Linked DNA regions of Schizosaccharomyces pombe. The protein of the gene in region 1 interacts with the protein of each later gene in a biochemical or structural test. Each region holds a gene or a part of one and is shown on either strand. Other genes may lie near its edges.

Region 1 (6,517 bases):
TTTCTTTATGATAGAACCATACGAATTATATGATGCTCAACAACTATTCTTAGGACTGAGATGTTCAAAAAGATGGAAACTAGTTATGCATTCTTTTAATGAAACCGTTGTTTAAATTAAAATTTTCAAGGGGTGAAATTGGAATATGGTTATTTTCAACTTTGCATATGACATGGCTTCCCAAAAGTTTCGATATTGTACTTATTTACGTACTGTGTAACCGCGATCTCTTGATTCTTTTTAGCTTGAAAGAAGAGATTGAAATATTACCAGGCCTGTCTTTTAATGACAAGGACGTTTAATGCTGTTAGATAATACCATTAATGATTTACGCATTTTTTTGTCAGTGTGTGCCAAAAAAAGCCATTTGCTCTTTGTCACGTTGTTTTTAAAGAATCTATCAATGACTGCTAGTCGTTTTGATTTGAGTAGATAGAATTTTGTGCAATATTCGCTTGATCCTGTATATATTCCAATAGTTTAGGCATGAAGGTTCTGTAGTGTTTTGTCGATGATGTTGAAGTGAAATTGATGATAAATAAATGTATTAAATAATGTTCGTTGGACGGCGTGTATTATTTGGCCAAAACGGATAGGAAGTTGCTGACCATTGTTTAAGCTATTGCTTTTTTTAAACAATGTGTAGGTAAGTTACAGCGCACGGATAATAAATATCTGTTGCTTTCTCGTTTCTCGTAAGCATTATGCCTATAAAATTCACGCATCAGTTGCACGATCAAGACCACTGTTGCATAATTGACTCGCAGAATGTCGTTCGATCAATATTGGTGAGAGAATCATAAGAACAAACATGGTACAGTAAACTTTTTATGTTATTTTTTAGATAAACTTTTTTAAAATTCACATACCTTAGTTCACGACTTTACTTTTAAAACGAAATTATTAAATTCTTTCATAATGTAATAATATAATAATAATTGCATAAAATTTTCTTAACGAGGATTTTTACCGTTATATTATAGGAGTCCTTAATGTGGCTTTTTCAGCCTACGAAACTCATCAACTAGACAAGACCGTGTGATATTCCTGCTAAACAGTATGGCAGAGACCAAAGAGCAAACTGATGATGTCGAAACATTAATGGCATCATTGGATCAACTTGGCATGGAAGCAGATCCCACTTCCAAAGAGTTCAACAACGACGACTCCAAAATTGGTGCCCCATCTGAAGTGCAGGACGAAAAAGAACTGCTGGAATTTTTAGATCAGCTTGAGAATGACGAAGAAAAGAATGAGAAAAATCCTATAGAAGAGGCCAACGAGGAAAATGAATCTGTCGCAGCTACCTCGAATGAACGTCAGCAACATGATGCATCAAATCAACCGTCTCAAGCGGCTCAGACAACTATAAATAAAAATACAGAATCCGCTACTCCAAAAACGGTTAACGAAATCAACAAGTCCCAGGAGTTCCAAGAACATGTAGAAACACCCAAACAGAGCAACTGGCTTGGTGGGTTTTGGTCCACTGCGTCCGCTGCTGTTCGATCAGCTGAACAACGAGTTCGCTCCATAAAAGGGTTTGAAGAGAATGCCAACTGGGATATTAACGTGCGTAATATGGTGGACTTGAACAAGCTTGGTAAGTAGAATTTCTCTTTTGGAAGAAAGAGTTCCTTTTGCTAACAAATGTCTTTTAGGAGATTTGAGCAATGGAATAAGGAGTAAGGCCCTTCCCACATTAAGCAATACAATTCACAACGTTCTGAACGTGGTGGCACCTCCTATTCATGATCATGAAGTTTTGCAGGTGACGGTATTTCATGATCTAGCAGGATTTGCACACCTGGACCGTATAGTGTATGAAAGCTTTGAAAAAGTAAGTTGCGTATTTACGTTTACGCTTTGGACATAGCACTAATATTTGTGCTTTCTTTTATGCTGTCACCGATTACTTGGTTTTCAAAAGACAGATAGGTCAATGCATAATCATAATTAAGTTTTATGGGATAATTTTACTGACATGTTACCAGGTGATGTTCCAAGTAGAAGGAGGTGAATTAACGGTGTTATTGGATAAGGAAGCTAAGGTTCGACCCCGAACGAACGATGTCTATGAAGACTTTGGTCTATGTAATGGTTATTTGGAAGCGAAAAAACTTGCAAAAGCCAATTTAGCTGAACCTATTACGGAGGCTAAAAAGATGAACAAAGAAAACAAGCAAGAAAATGTTGGAGCTGGTGATGATGAAGACGCTTCAGAATCTCCTATGGTTCGAGTAACTCACTTACTTCTCGTAATCCAAGCATTTACTATCAAAAATAAAGAAGTTTCGGATGATGAGCAACTATGCTTTCTTATTCACCTTAACGATACTAATCATAACTTGGAGTTTTCTACCACTTCTCAACCTTTGCCGCTTGAATGGCAACGATGGGCTGTGGACCCTCGATACATTAAGCTTTTCGGTTCTAACGCCATATTACCAAATGAATGGGTAACAGAATGGGTGGAACAATCCATTTCTGTTGCAGCAGGTATTGTTGCCCAAATGTATACCTCAAAGCGTATGGCCCTTGGCGATCCTTCTCTTTTCGCTGGTTTACCGGAAGAAGATGTTAACACTGGTTCATCTGAAACTCCAGTTCCATATTATGACGGAGCCATGTATGCCTAATTGATTCAACTTTAATGAATTATGAACTTTTGATGCATTGTTTCGAATTTAAAAAAGGAAATAACAAATGAAACTACTTTCTTTGTGCCACATAATCGTAATAATATTGACGTGCTTTTCAATATGATAGAGCAATGTTAGAGTAGTGAGCGAAGAGACTTAAGCAGTAGCACAGCAACATGTGAATGTTTTTCGATGAGAGTGGGTATATACGCTTTAAAAATATCGGTACAAGAGAATTAAAACATTTACATTAGCTGCTGAAGAGAACACAGCTGTTAGAAACAAAGCAAACTATTTGATGAGATGGAAAGGTGGATTTTCTTCATCTGTTTACACTAGCATTTCATCTATTAGCGCTCTGTAACGTATTCTGTTATTTATTAATTGCAACATATTAGAGTGGGATCATAAGACGAACGTGACGATAAACTTAACGAGCCATTCATTAGGATGCAAAATAATGGGATTTAGCGAGTTTTAATGGGCTATCTTATTTACAAAGAGAAAAAGGGAAAGTAAAAGTATTTATGGACTAAGACATGTGCCCTTTTAGAAAAGTTTTATTTGAGTGCTAGCACACCTGTTGATGATGAATAAGACCAATTAAGTATCCGCCTCATTATCGCTTGTCTTTTACAGCTAGCTCATTTACGAAACTAGGTGGAAACAGGTAACTTCGTTGGCCCAAGCAGGTTGCTGAGCAAGGCAGCAATCATGTCATTAGACGAAATGTTGGTAAAAAAAAAGGTCACGATTGGATGTGAATTCCCAGGCAAAAGGTGATATGAAATCAGGCAAAACGCATTAATAAGCTATTTAACCTGATTTTTAACTATATACTGAGACAAGCAATAAATCTTACTACGCAGTTTCTTGTGTCACGTTAAAGGAATTGTTAATAATGAAGTGTGCGGTAAAGGCAATTATGTGTTGCTAATACTCTCGGTATAAGAAAATGCAAATCACAAAAGAGTAAAAAAATGGAAAGAAGCTTGAATTGCAAATCGTCTGTCTTTTTTGGTAGGTTGGCTGGTCGTTTTTTACTATTCTTTAGTCATCGTCGGTATTGGTTTTGCCATATGGTCGGGAGGTGGAAGAACTGAATGAAAGTTTTCAGACGCATTGCATCCGAACTGGAATACGCATTCAATTTTTTGAAAACGGGATCATTGCGGATTATTTCCTATTCCGCTTATTTCCATTGCTGGCTAGCTGACCGAATCGGTTTGGAATTGATGTATGTTTCCCTGTTTTGCTCGACATAACCTCATCTGCCAGCCACCTCCATATGCGCGATTATGACTTTTTGACAGTGAGTATATGGAAGACAAGAGTAGAATTGACGACATAGGGCGGGCGGGAAGGGCAGATGGGATAAGATTTAGTAAAAAGTAAGCTAATTGAATGAAGAATGCTTGATGAAGATGGCTGAAACTGTGATTTCACTACTTCGTAAATAAAGTCACACAGTCCGATAGTTGGCCAGAAAGACATATACACTCCCATAATACAAAGACACGAGCCAGATGCATCCTATAATTGGGAAATCGTAATAAAAAACATGTAACAAAGTACCTCTGTTTAATTATTGAAAAAGATTTATTCCTATTACTAAGGTACGCATTTTGTTGTGGTATACGCGTCTTTGTTTGTTTACATTTTGGTGGTGTGTTTACTTTCTCACTGCCCGCATCTAAAAATATTATCCGTTACCATTGAGGGGGTTGGTCGGTGTGGTAACGGTTACCCTTCTCAGCCTCCTCCAAAAATTGCCATGACGTGAAGAGACAGTTTTCCAGTATATATATGGAAGGCTGCTCCATGGGAGGTTCAGTTTTAACCATACACTAAGTACTTGTATCGTTCTTTGTACAAGCTTTTGCTGTTTAATTGAGCGAGCGGTTTTCATTTAAACATCTTTCTTTTTATTTCATTTAATATAAACAAATTAATTTCATTAATTTTCATCTTTTCTTTCTCATTTCTTTTAAGTAATCGTGAAAATGCTTGCTCGTGTCGGTACCACTTTATTCTTTCTTGCTAATGCACTTGCTGCTTATGCCGTCTCTGTCACTTCTCCTACTCGTGACACCACCTGGCAATCCGGCCAAGTGAACACCGTCACCTGGTCTTCTGTCAGCACTGATCCCGAGGAGATGGTTATTATGTTGGTGAACAATGCTCATTATCCCAACCAAAACTTTAATCTCGGAACTGTCCAATCCTCCGCTGGATCTTTGGATACCGACATCTCCATCTCTTCTGATCTCCCCACTGACGGATGGCAAATTTACTTCAACGGAGCTACTTCTCAAAACCAAGGTAGTTTGGCTCAATCTGAGCAATTCGACTTTGAAGGTAGTGATTCCACTTTGGCTGCTAGCACCATTAGCGGTGGTATTTACTCTTCTACCTCTGCTTCCTCCACTAGCTCTAGCACTGCCACCCCCTCTTCTAGCTCTACTACCTCTTCTTCTTCCTCTAGCAGCTCTTCTACCCCTATCTCCTCTAGCATCACCTCAAGCATCTCTTCTTCCGCTTCTTCCTCTGTTAGCTCCTCTTCTGCCAGCTCCAGTGGATCCATCTCTTCTGCCGATGCCAAGACCGTAAGTGCTAGCTCCAACTCCACTATTAGCGGATTTTCCACTTCTACCACTAGTGCTTCCAGCTCTGCCGCCGGTAACTCTAGCTCCTCTAGCTACACTTCTTATAGCGGTGCTGTTTCCAACGGCGTTGCACAACTCTCCGTTGCTGCTTGCATGGGTATTGCCGCTCTTATGCTTATTGCTTAAAGAAGCTGACAACCGAGTTGGCCTACTATGCTTCAACCTTCGAATTACCACAGAGAACCATTGAAACATATTTCGAAAAAAATATCTATCTAGTTCATCTACTCATCGCTACATATGAGGGGCGCATTATATTTTTAGTCTGTTTTTTTTTATCATTTAACTTGCGCCCTCTGTTTATACTGCTTTTTTTCATTCCTTTTCATATATTTGGCAAATCATTTGAAATCTATCTTTTCATCATCATTAGTCTGGTCATTTTGCTACTCTTTTATACTAAACGTTAGTTTTTTTTGTGCGCCTGATGGTTTCTAAAAAGTCACGCATGTCTTGTTCATAGCTGATCATCATCATCATATAGCAATTCCATTTCATTTCATATATTCTATACAGTTAGTTGTGTGTGTAGTTTCTGTAAACTGTTATAGTTCAAAGAATTAACTGAATTGTGAAGAAACGTTCTTTATGGTAATGCAAATTACTTTTACTTGTTCCTTCATTACAGTCATAAATCCATTTTTTGAAGTATGAATAAGCATATATATATGTATGTTTAAATTTGATCTAGTTTAGTGTGAGTTAGCGGAGGATTGATTTCACGATGGTGAGTAAAGTACTGTTTATAGATAATTACAAGCTGTTCATTATAAATCGTTGAAATCAAATATATCATTTAATCTAAGATGCAATTTTGCAACCATTCTGTTGTTAGCTGTAATACATTTACATATGCCACACATTCCAACCAAGCCGTCGGCCGTTTTCGCTCAAAATTTCTCGGACCTGTAGCTTATCGCTTTCTGAATCATGTAAAAAATATATCGGCCGCTTCTAGTAACATACTGTTGGAACATTACACCTAGTCTCTTATACTTCCTATTTTTGTTTATTCCTTCCTTCCTTCCTTCCTCAATTGTTACTGCAAACCCGAAAAAAATACTGTTACCTGTAAGACGATGTTGAATTTGTTTTGTGTTGAGAAAAGAGAGCAGTCACAAAATTTTGAAGGTAACATTTCTCATTAGTGCAAACTTGCGGGTTCGACGTTCCTTCTACAACCAAACACCAGCAGAAAATTATCACAAA
Region 2 (9,280 bases), on another chromosome or scaffold:
TATCAATTTTTCACGAATTATGAAACCCATCAGCAATCATGTTTAATGAAAACATACCCAAGGTTGACATCAAGCAAATCAGCAGATCGTCAAAACTGTTACGTTTTATTTTACCTAATGTCTCTTGGCAATCTCTATCAATCATCGATGACAAGTATTGTGAAAGATGAAAGATGATTAGTAATGATCAATCTTGATATTTTAAAAATCTCTCCCATTCACTAATTTCTGGCTAATTAATTAACTCACTACACATCTAGTATATCGACGAGTATCCGGCTTTCGGGTATAAAAGAAGAGCATGAAATTCCACGAAAACAAACTTAACGAATCATTCATTAGCGATGCTACAAAACAATATACTGTTGGAGTTTGCCGCTCGGTAACAAGAAAATGGCATTCATAACAACGACCCATTCCAACCGTAATGGGCCATACTGAGTTTTTCTGTGGTTACTCAAAATCGTTGATCAAATTCATGGTAGCTGTTTCTTGATTCACTTTTACTCGGGACTTGTAAAGCCGATTTTCGGAAAAGTGTGATGAATAAATGACGCTGTCGGAAACAACTGGTATTTTTGGGTTGGCGAGTAGGTTATTTTCTACAAAACATACAAATAATACAATACATTGCTAGCAAAATCAATAGTGCATATATAGTACTAATAACAAAGAGTATTTAAAAAACAACATATCGATTTAGCAGAAAAAAATGGGAAGGAAGGTATTGAAATAGAGGATAGATGGCATGGCTCATTAAATGTAGGAAACCAAAGTAAGGATGACTGGTTTGAGATTATTTCCTTACATCCCGTAACATGCAAAAAAATGCAGCAATTTAACACGGTGGAGGGAAAGTATCGAATTTTTTTACTGGTAAATGTAATATATTGGATTGAAACAACTCCGCTTGCCATTATTAAATAAAAAATAATTCTTTTCGTTAACTAAAAAGTGAAATCAAAATTAATTTAAAAAAAAAGAAAAGTTAAAGGAATACTATGCTACCAATATTTCCCTCGAGTTTATATTGATAAAGCATTTAGCTAGGCTTACAAATAAGTTGCTTGCTTCATATATATCTTATTACCTGTTTGATAGTGAAAAACAATATTCAGCCCCAACGGTTCGGTTCCTTTTTGCTTAATTGTACTACCACACAACACAATACAAAGCTTAAATCCTGAACCTAGGAAATGGGTATGCGGTCCGTTCAACGAATGTTGAAGTTGCATCGTCCTAGATAATCCTAGGAGCAAAAGCTTTGATTGCTTGCTCAGCCTTTGCTATGAGAAAAAGGAGTCGATAACTTGAGAACACAGCGATCGGATTTCCCTTTAAAGATGGAAGATTCATTTGTTACATAAGAAATTCATGTCAAAATGATTTCTGTTTACACTGCGTTTTATAGATGTTACTATGTATAGCAAGATTAATTAACATGTTATTGTTATTTGTTATTATGTTTTTAATACTATGTATTTATAGCATCTGTAATGTCTGCGTTTTTCAACTGCCAAAGAGCGCATTTTCTACAAGTTTCGGTTAATGTTGCAAATAACCGATTAGACTTTCATGTCATGACACTTGATTTCACTTGTGCTGACGCTTTTTTATGAACGGCATATCGCTGTTCAGCTGCTTTACCGACATGTAATGGCCAAATCTCGAGCTTGACACTTTGTAAAAAGTCTCAATAATAATTCCCCATCCACAACTGACATACATAATTGATAGTACTTACTAGCCTTTACCCTTGCCAGCCAGACAGCTTCCACTGTACTGAGGTCAGGGATCATGACATAGACTGATTGCAAATTACGAACAAGACCGTCAATCTGCACTTTAGCATCTCCTAAAATAATAATCGTTAAAGCCGACTAGCTATTAGGGATGACGGGAGGAGCAAAAAAATAGCCTGAAAAAAGAAAAAGAAAAGAAAGCGTATTTAAAGAAAGGTTAAAATTTTCTTTGTTCTTTCAATAAGTAAGCAGTTTACTCCTGGTCCAGAAGTGCGACGGACCTTGCGTGCCGGTAAGGAAGTTGCAAAAAAAAAAAAAAAGGAAAAAAAGAACCGAGATAAAGTTGACTTTCAACTTCCGTCTGCAGTAACCGGATTTCCCAAAAATTTCAACGGGTAATTCAATTATGCAAGGGGATTGTCATTCTTTTTTTTACATTTTTGAGTTTCACGACACATTAGTCCCTTAATTGCAGCTACAACCATGCCTTGTTGCCTATTTTTTTCCTTTGCTTAATTACAATTTCTCACCCCATTTGAAGTCATGTTGATTGAATTTTTCACATCCCGTTTTCAAGCTCTAACATCAGTCATTGTAGATGATTGATTGTAGAAAATTATATTTGTTTCCTTTTCGCGACCATTAAATGATTATTCAATAGTTGATGAATTATTGCCTTTGTTGTTTTGTTACTCATCATGGCAATTTTATCGTATTATTTGTTACATAGATTATTGTCATCCACTAAATTTTTTGATGGCCAAGCGTCGCTGTTTGGACGAAATATTCGATTACCGAGGACGGATGGCCATAATCAAGACTAGTTTGGTAAGAGAATTTGGCAGATGGGCTGGACGACATTTGTTGAAAGTGTGAGAAACGCTTCTGAAAAGGCATGTTTTCTATATTTCATTTCTATTCTGGTAAAGAATTGTGCGGAATACTATACCATGGACAAATGGGGCGGGCGACAAGGCAGCTACAGTATAAGCGGGCATATAGCATTCATTGTATAATACAGTATATAGTACATGGTAGGTAGAGTTGGATAGAGATGGTGAGAATGACAGTTGCATTATTTATGCGTAAAACTATATGTAAATTTTATAACTATTTATGTAAACATGCGTTTATATATGTGTATGAGTGTGCATGCTTGTGTACATTTGTGTGTGTGTGTATGTGTGGTGTGTATTGATGTTTGAATGGTATGATGACAATGATAAGCCATTTCTTACGAAAACTCCTTAAGTGAATATGGTTGAGTTGAATGGAGCGGCATTTGAATGGTAAATGATTAGTGATCTAAATTAATGAAAATTCATTCAGCGCCTCTGCCTCTACGGCCATGGCGGTTTTCGTAGATCTCAGCCCTTCAGAGTAGCAAGCGTCTCTTACGCTATAGTTGGGTGACGGCTAGGTACGTTGCATACTGCGCACATGGTGTTGTGGAATGTGTATACTTTTTCATAGGAAGGAGGTGCCAAACGCAACGCGCCTGGATGGTGATTGTTGGGTTGTTCCCTCGTCCGGCCAATTTTTTCCAGCTATTTTATTTTAAGGATAGAATAACAATGATGTTGTTCCGGTCTCACAAACATGATTATCTCATGCAAATTTCACCTTTTCTAAGTGGCTTTACCAAAGAAAACGCAACTTATTATTATCCAAACTCTTGCTAATTCCTTTTTACTTTCTCCACATCCCTCGAATTGGCTTGAGGCTTTTTCTTTTATCCTTTCTATCCTCAATTACTAGTTTTCTTAGCAGTTGTATTATTAGGACATTGCTTTGTTGTTTTACCCCCCCCCCATTGGAATTACATTCTGTGGGATTGAAGGAAAGAAAAAGAAAATTGCTTATTAAGAGTCGTATATACTTCATTCTTCAATTTACTACACTCACTACTTGCTTTTCTCCATCTACGATCTACCATTTTGTTAGGTAGACTTTCGTACTACAGCTACATCGCTTGTCGTCGACTTTGTGTGCTTTTGAAAACTGCCCTGGTAATTGCCGATTCTTTTGGGGGTTATTTATACTTTTGTTTTATCCAAATTACTAATCCGCCTGATTTGGACATTGATCAATTTTGGTAGTAGCGCAATCGCACCCCCTCAAACACAAAAACCTCATCATTGTCTCATGGTACAATATTGCCTTGGAACATCATTACTTTAAAGCAATACGATTGATACAAAGGTTTCCGCTAGTTGTTGATTGAAGGTTTGGTGTTTATCGTTTTTTCGTGTTTGATTTGCCTTTACAGACCCTCCGTGTTCGGCATACTTATTCTCCGGTATTGTAGATATTTATTTCTCTCCGATACCTTTTTGCATTTGCTGTTTCTCTTTACTGTTGCACCCTACATTTGATTGAGAAAGGGGTTTAGTGGTTGTCGTCAATTGTCTTTATTCTGAGAAAACGGCTTTCTTCTCCCTGATATAAGAAACCATTTGGTTTGATAAATATATTTCAAGTTCACTTTCTCACTGTTTTCCGCTTCTTTGCTGATTTATCGTTTGATCGACGGCCTTGCAATTTTACAACGTCGAGAATTTTAACTTCTTTCTTCGTGATTGCATTCAAATTTTGAAACTCTTTCGAAGTAGGTGTACCAGTTAACTTGATTGCTCATTCTTCCTCCCATTCTCTGCTTCTTGATGAACTAGCTGTTCTGGTCCAACACCAATTGTCGAATGCTTGTCAGTTCAGTTCTATTGCTTTAATTCGTCCATTTTTTATTTTTATTTTTTAAATTCCGCCTTTCTATTTTGTTCTTACCCTTCGACGAGTCGAAAAAAAAGGTTTTTTATTGCTTTTGTCGCTTGGTGACTTCGAACAAGGAAACTTTTCCCCTTATTATTGTTTGAGAAACACTTATTTTCGGTGGTTGGTATCTCTTTTCATCATTTTTGCTTCTGGTTTTGCATAATTCTAAAAGATACTTATCCCTTTTTTCAGGTTTCGACGTCTTCTACCTCTTCACTTTACCAATTTGCTCGCATGACTTAGACGGAATCTTTTTATTGTAAAATGCATTCCTTAAAACGTCGTAGAAATCATGCGCCTGATTGGCAGGACTTTTATAAAAATGGTGTTCCACAAGAAGTCATTGTTATAGAGGACTCAGCTTCTCCACGGCTTACCCCTAATTTACCGCCTCCTTTTTCTGTTCATCAATTACAATCCTTCGTACCTCCGCAACCTCCCTCATCATCATCACCCTCTACCACTGGCACTGTGGCAGTCCCTATCAATGGTGCGAATGCTGTTTATCCATCAACTAACTCGGTATCTCTTCCTCAATCCTATGATCCATGGTTGGATGCTAATGGCGTCGTTCCATTACCGCATGATGTCGCCAGCCATCCTTCATATATGGTTCAGTCTCCTACATCGTATCATGCGTGTTCAAATAATCAATCGCCATTTCCCCATTCACATCATCCTCCCCTTCATAATCCACTACCTGTTTCATGTCAACCTGTTTTACGGCCGCCTCCTGTCCCTCAAGTTCCTTCACACTGGTACCCGGTTTCGCTTCCCTCTCCTAATTTACCTCACCAACCAATTTCTAAACCTCCAGTGATCCCTAATTTACCAAAGCTCCAAGTCCATCCGAACAGGCTTCCACATCCCATCCATAATCATCCTTACTCGTCTCCAACCTCTTATCCTCCCCCACTATGTCCTGCAACGTATTGTCCTTCTAACCCTCCTCAGCTAGCTCCGGCTACTGCTATCGCTCCTTCCTCGCAATCGTCTCAACATAAAAGTGTAAATTATTCCGTCACCCCAAGTTCCATTAACAATCATACCGCTGTACCATTATCTCCAACGCTGGCCGTATGGCTTCCGATGACTCAACCAACTTTCCAACCTCCTTCTGCAAACGTTTATCAACCGGCTTCTAATGCCAATCAAGTTATCACTCCTGTATCTATTTCCGATTATCGACCTCCGAAGAAAAGGAAGCGAGCTGCATGGCCCCCATATAAAAAAGTCGACCGCGTAAATGTTCCTGTTGTGCATGATACTACCGCTTTTGATCCATCAACTTTTGATGATGATGACGGTCATTACAAGGTTGTACCTAACTCCAAATTTGCCAACCGTTATACAGTTGTTCGTTTGCTTGGGCACGGTACTTTTGGCAAAGTTATCCAGTGTTACGATCAAAGTACAGGTAGACATTGTGCTATCAAGGTGACTCGAGCAATTCCAAAGTACAGAGAAGCTAGTCTCATTGAATTAAGAGTTTTACAAACTATAGCTCATAGTGATCCGACAAATGAAAATAAGTGCATTCAGTTACGCGATTATTTCGATTACCGCAAGCACATCTGCATTGTGACTGATCTTTTTGGCTGGAGTGTCTTTGATTTTTTAAAGAATAACAACTACATTCCTTTCCCTTTGAAGCATATTCAGATGCTATCCCAACAACTTTTTAAAAGTGTTGCGTTTCTTCACTCTTTGGGACTAGTACATACCGATCTTAAACCCGAAAATGTTCTTCTGGTATCTAATGCCTCAAGAACTATTCGATTACCTTATCGGAATTATTCACAGAAAGTCCTTAATAGTTGTGAAATCCGGCTTATCGACTTTGGTAGTGCAACATTTGAAGATGAATACCATTCCAGTGTAGTGAGTACTCGTCATTATCGTGCTCCAGAGATTATTTTAGGGTTGGGTTGGTCTTATCCTTGCGATGTTTGGAGTATTGGATGTATTTTAGTTGAGTTATTCACGGGACAAGCCTTGTTTCAAACCCATGAAGATAGTGAGCATCTGTGCATGATGGAAAAAATCCTGGGTCCCTTTGATAGGAATATGATTTCGCGTTCCTCTCGTACATCGCAACGTTTTTTTAAATCTGACGGAAAAGTCCGTTATCCTTTGTCAAATACGCCTAAAAAAAGCATTAATTATCTTCAATCTCTGCAAACGCTAGAGCAAATATTTGCAGTATCATCTCCAGAAGTGGCTTTGCTGCTTGATTTATTGAAAAAAGTATTCGTTTACGATCCTAAGCGGCGAATAACTGCAAAAGAGGCCCTTTGGCATCCCTTTTTCACCCAACCAATTTCTTCAAATTTGTGATGGATAAACTTAGAGATTTATAATTTACTTCATGTTTTTCAATAATTTTCACTCTTTCTAATTTACAAATCTACGGAAGTCTCGTATTTCTGGTTTGTGTTACGCTTTAGCTGATGTTTATTCGTTTGTTATTATTCAGTTTCTTAGACGAAAACTCGCATGTTCTACAATTACTTTAATTGCATAGAGTACTTGGTTATCCGATATAAATTAAAACTCAAAATTGTCCTCTTTTTAGATTATTCCATAAAGGTTTGATTAAGTCGTCAATTACACTCGTAAATTTTGGTCCTTGGGTTAAATAGTAGTTACTCAGTGAAATAAAAGAAAAAAAGATCATTAATGGTTTTCAGGACTATTTTAATAGATACGGATTACCTTGACAATTTTTTTGAAGTCTGAAGTATTTTGTTATGAACATAATTGTATAATGAAGAAAAGGTTTGCCCATTTCATTAAACAACAGAGATCACTTGCCTGAGACCCAATTTATATAATATGAGACAATAGCTCAAGTAGTTAGAACTTTAAAGGATCCGACTCCTCTTTTAAATTTTCCTCATTAAATAGATAAGCCAGAGGCTTTCCAAAATAACGAAACAATGAGATATCCGATATTTTAAGAGTCATTCCATCAAACGCCAAAGCTATATGTAAGTCTTCTGTCGAAATATCAATGTCTGGTAATTTGGGATATCGTTGGCTAAAATGAGTCAAAATAACGTTTTTTGTACCAGCTTTTTTGGCCACTTCTAAAGCTTCAGAGTAAGTACTGTGTTGCTTTTTTATTGCAATTTCGTGCATAGAGTCTTCCAAAGTAGCTTCGTGAATTAATAAAGTTGAGTCTTTGGCAATGTTAGCAAAATCCTCAGAAGGTCGAGTATCTCCAGAGTATGCGATCTTCCAACCACTGGAATTAGTAATCTCCATGCAATATGAATACGGGCAGTGTATGGCAGGAACCGTTCGAAAAGATACTAAATCAAATTCTTTAAATAAAGAAGACAACCTAGAGGATTCCAAAGCAGACGGCTTCCTGTCAGTACGTAAAGCACTATTGGAAATAAATACGATGTTGGATAATGGTAGATAATCAATCCTTGAGTATTCTAGTAGCCAAAATTCAAATTGTGGAGGTGCTGTTATAAACAACTTTGATCTGCCATCTGAGTACTTCGTCCAAGCCTTTAAAACCCCTATAACACCAGCATGATGGTCAGCATGCATATGGGAGATATAAATCCATCGTAAAGAAGCTATTTCGTATTTTAAATTGTCACCATACTGCCTCGATAGACGTCCCAAAGTGCCCTCTCCACAGTCCAAAAGTATGTTTTTCATACTGATAGCTGAGTCTTCCATACATTTTTTGTCAACGGGAATTCTAACGTAAGTAGATGAAACATTTCTGTATAAAGAAGGCATTGCAGATCCAGTGCCAAGAGTACAAATTTGGATGTCAGAACCTGCAAAGCTCGGTGCCTTTGGTTTATCACTAACATATTTTTGAGCTTCTTCAACAAATGATTTATAATCTGGTTTCTCTTTCAAAATTTTATCCTTCAACTCTTCAATCGAAACCCCAACTTCCGAATCGTCAATACCAGTTTTTTTTCCAAACGCAAAACGCAGTTTGGGTTTGGCAAAAGCAATTCGATTGTTTTTTTGTACATTTTTAACTTCATAGCAGTTAAAGCCTAAAGGAAAAACTTTTGAATCTAACAAATTAAGTGTTGCAATAGCGACTGCACTCCTAGGATAATTTATTACTTCGTTTACTTCAGTCGAAGCAATTAGATGGCTCACCTCACTTGGGAATGAAGAAATCCAGCTCTGATAACGTGGATTTTTGTATACTTCTGGTGTAACCGAATGAATGACACAAACAGGTTTAGGTGCATTTGTCCATTTATGATTTTCAATGACCAAGTCAATTACGAGTTCGTTGGGGCAATGAATAATAAAAAAGGAGGAGCCAGGAATAGAAGGACCAATCACTTCTTTTGGATATACTGTTTTTCCGTTTTCAAGAGTTACAGGTTCTCCTCGAGCGAGTCTACCACAGTCTAATCCTTTCGTGATACCAAGCGATTTTGCTTTTGCGGCGTCAAATTTCCCTGGGGTAGGATGGGATTGAACAATATAAGAAATAAACAGCTCTGGCTTGTCTGGTTCCAAAGGAGCCGGAGTGTTATACATTGCATTCTCAACGACGAATGATGTATCATTGGAAACGTGAGAATACCAATGAGGAGAAGTATTTGCTCTATCCTCTTTTAATGGTCTTGCATTTGTACCTCTGTTAATGTTTTCATGCTTCCTTTTTTTAAAAGAATTTTTAACTAGTGAAACAACTACCGGAGTTACACAAATATTTTCATCAACGAATACTGGGGCCTCAGCCGAAGTATATCCCTGTACCGTTAAAT

The links.
Region 2: of the proteins of knh2 (region 1) and lkh1, one has a biochemical effect on the other in vitro, tested with the Schizosaccharomyces pombe proteins (one large-scale study listed by BioGRID).

The regions. Positions count from the first base shown.
Region 1 is NC_003421.2:1,305,135-1,311,651, forward strand, and holds knh2 (conserved fungal cell surface protein, Kre9/Knh1 family, Knh2), read left to right. Parts: upstream 1-4,474; 5' UTR 4,475-4,645; coding exon 4,646-5,434; 3' UTR 5,435-5,813; downstream 5,814-6,517. Other genes in the region: SPOM_SPCC1322.09 (uncharacterized protein), read left to right, coding at 1,060-1,603, 1,662-1,840, 1,995-2,639.
Region 2 is NC_003424.3:654,331-663,610, reverse strand, and holds lkh1 (dual-specificity), read left to right. Parts: upstream 1-3,433; 5' UTR 3,434-4,778; coding exon 4,779-6,851; 3' UTR 6,852-7,370; downstream 7,371-9,280. Other genes in the region: 3' tRNA-processing endonuclease tRNAse Z L2 Trz1, read right to left, coding at 7,371-9,280. UniProt on the Schizosaccharomyces pombe protein: Protein kinase that may act as a negative regulator of filamentous growth and flocculation. Appears to have a role in normal cell wall and septum formation and in cell separation.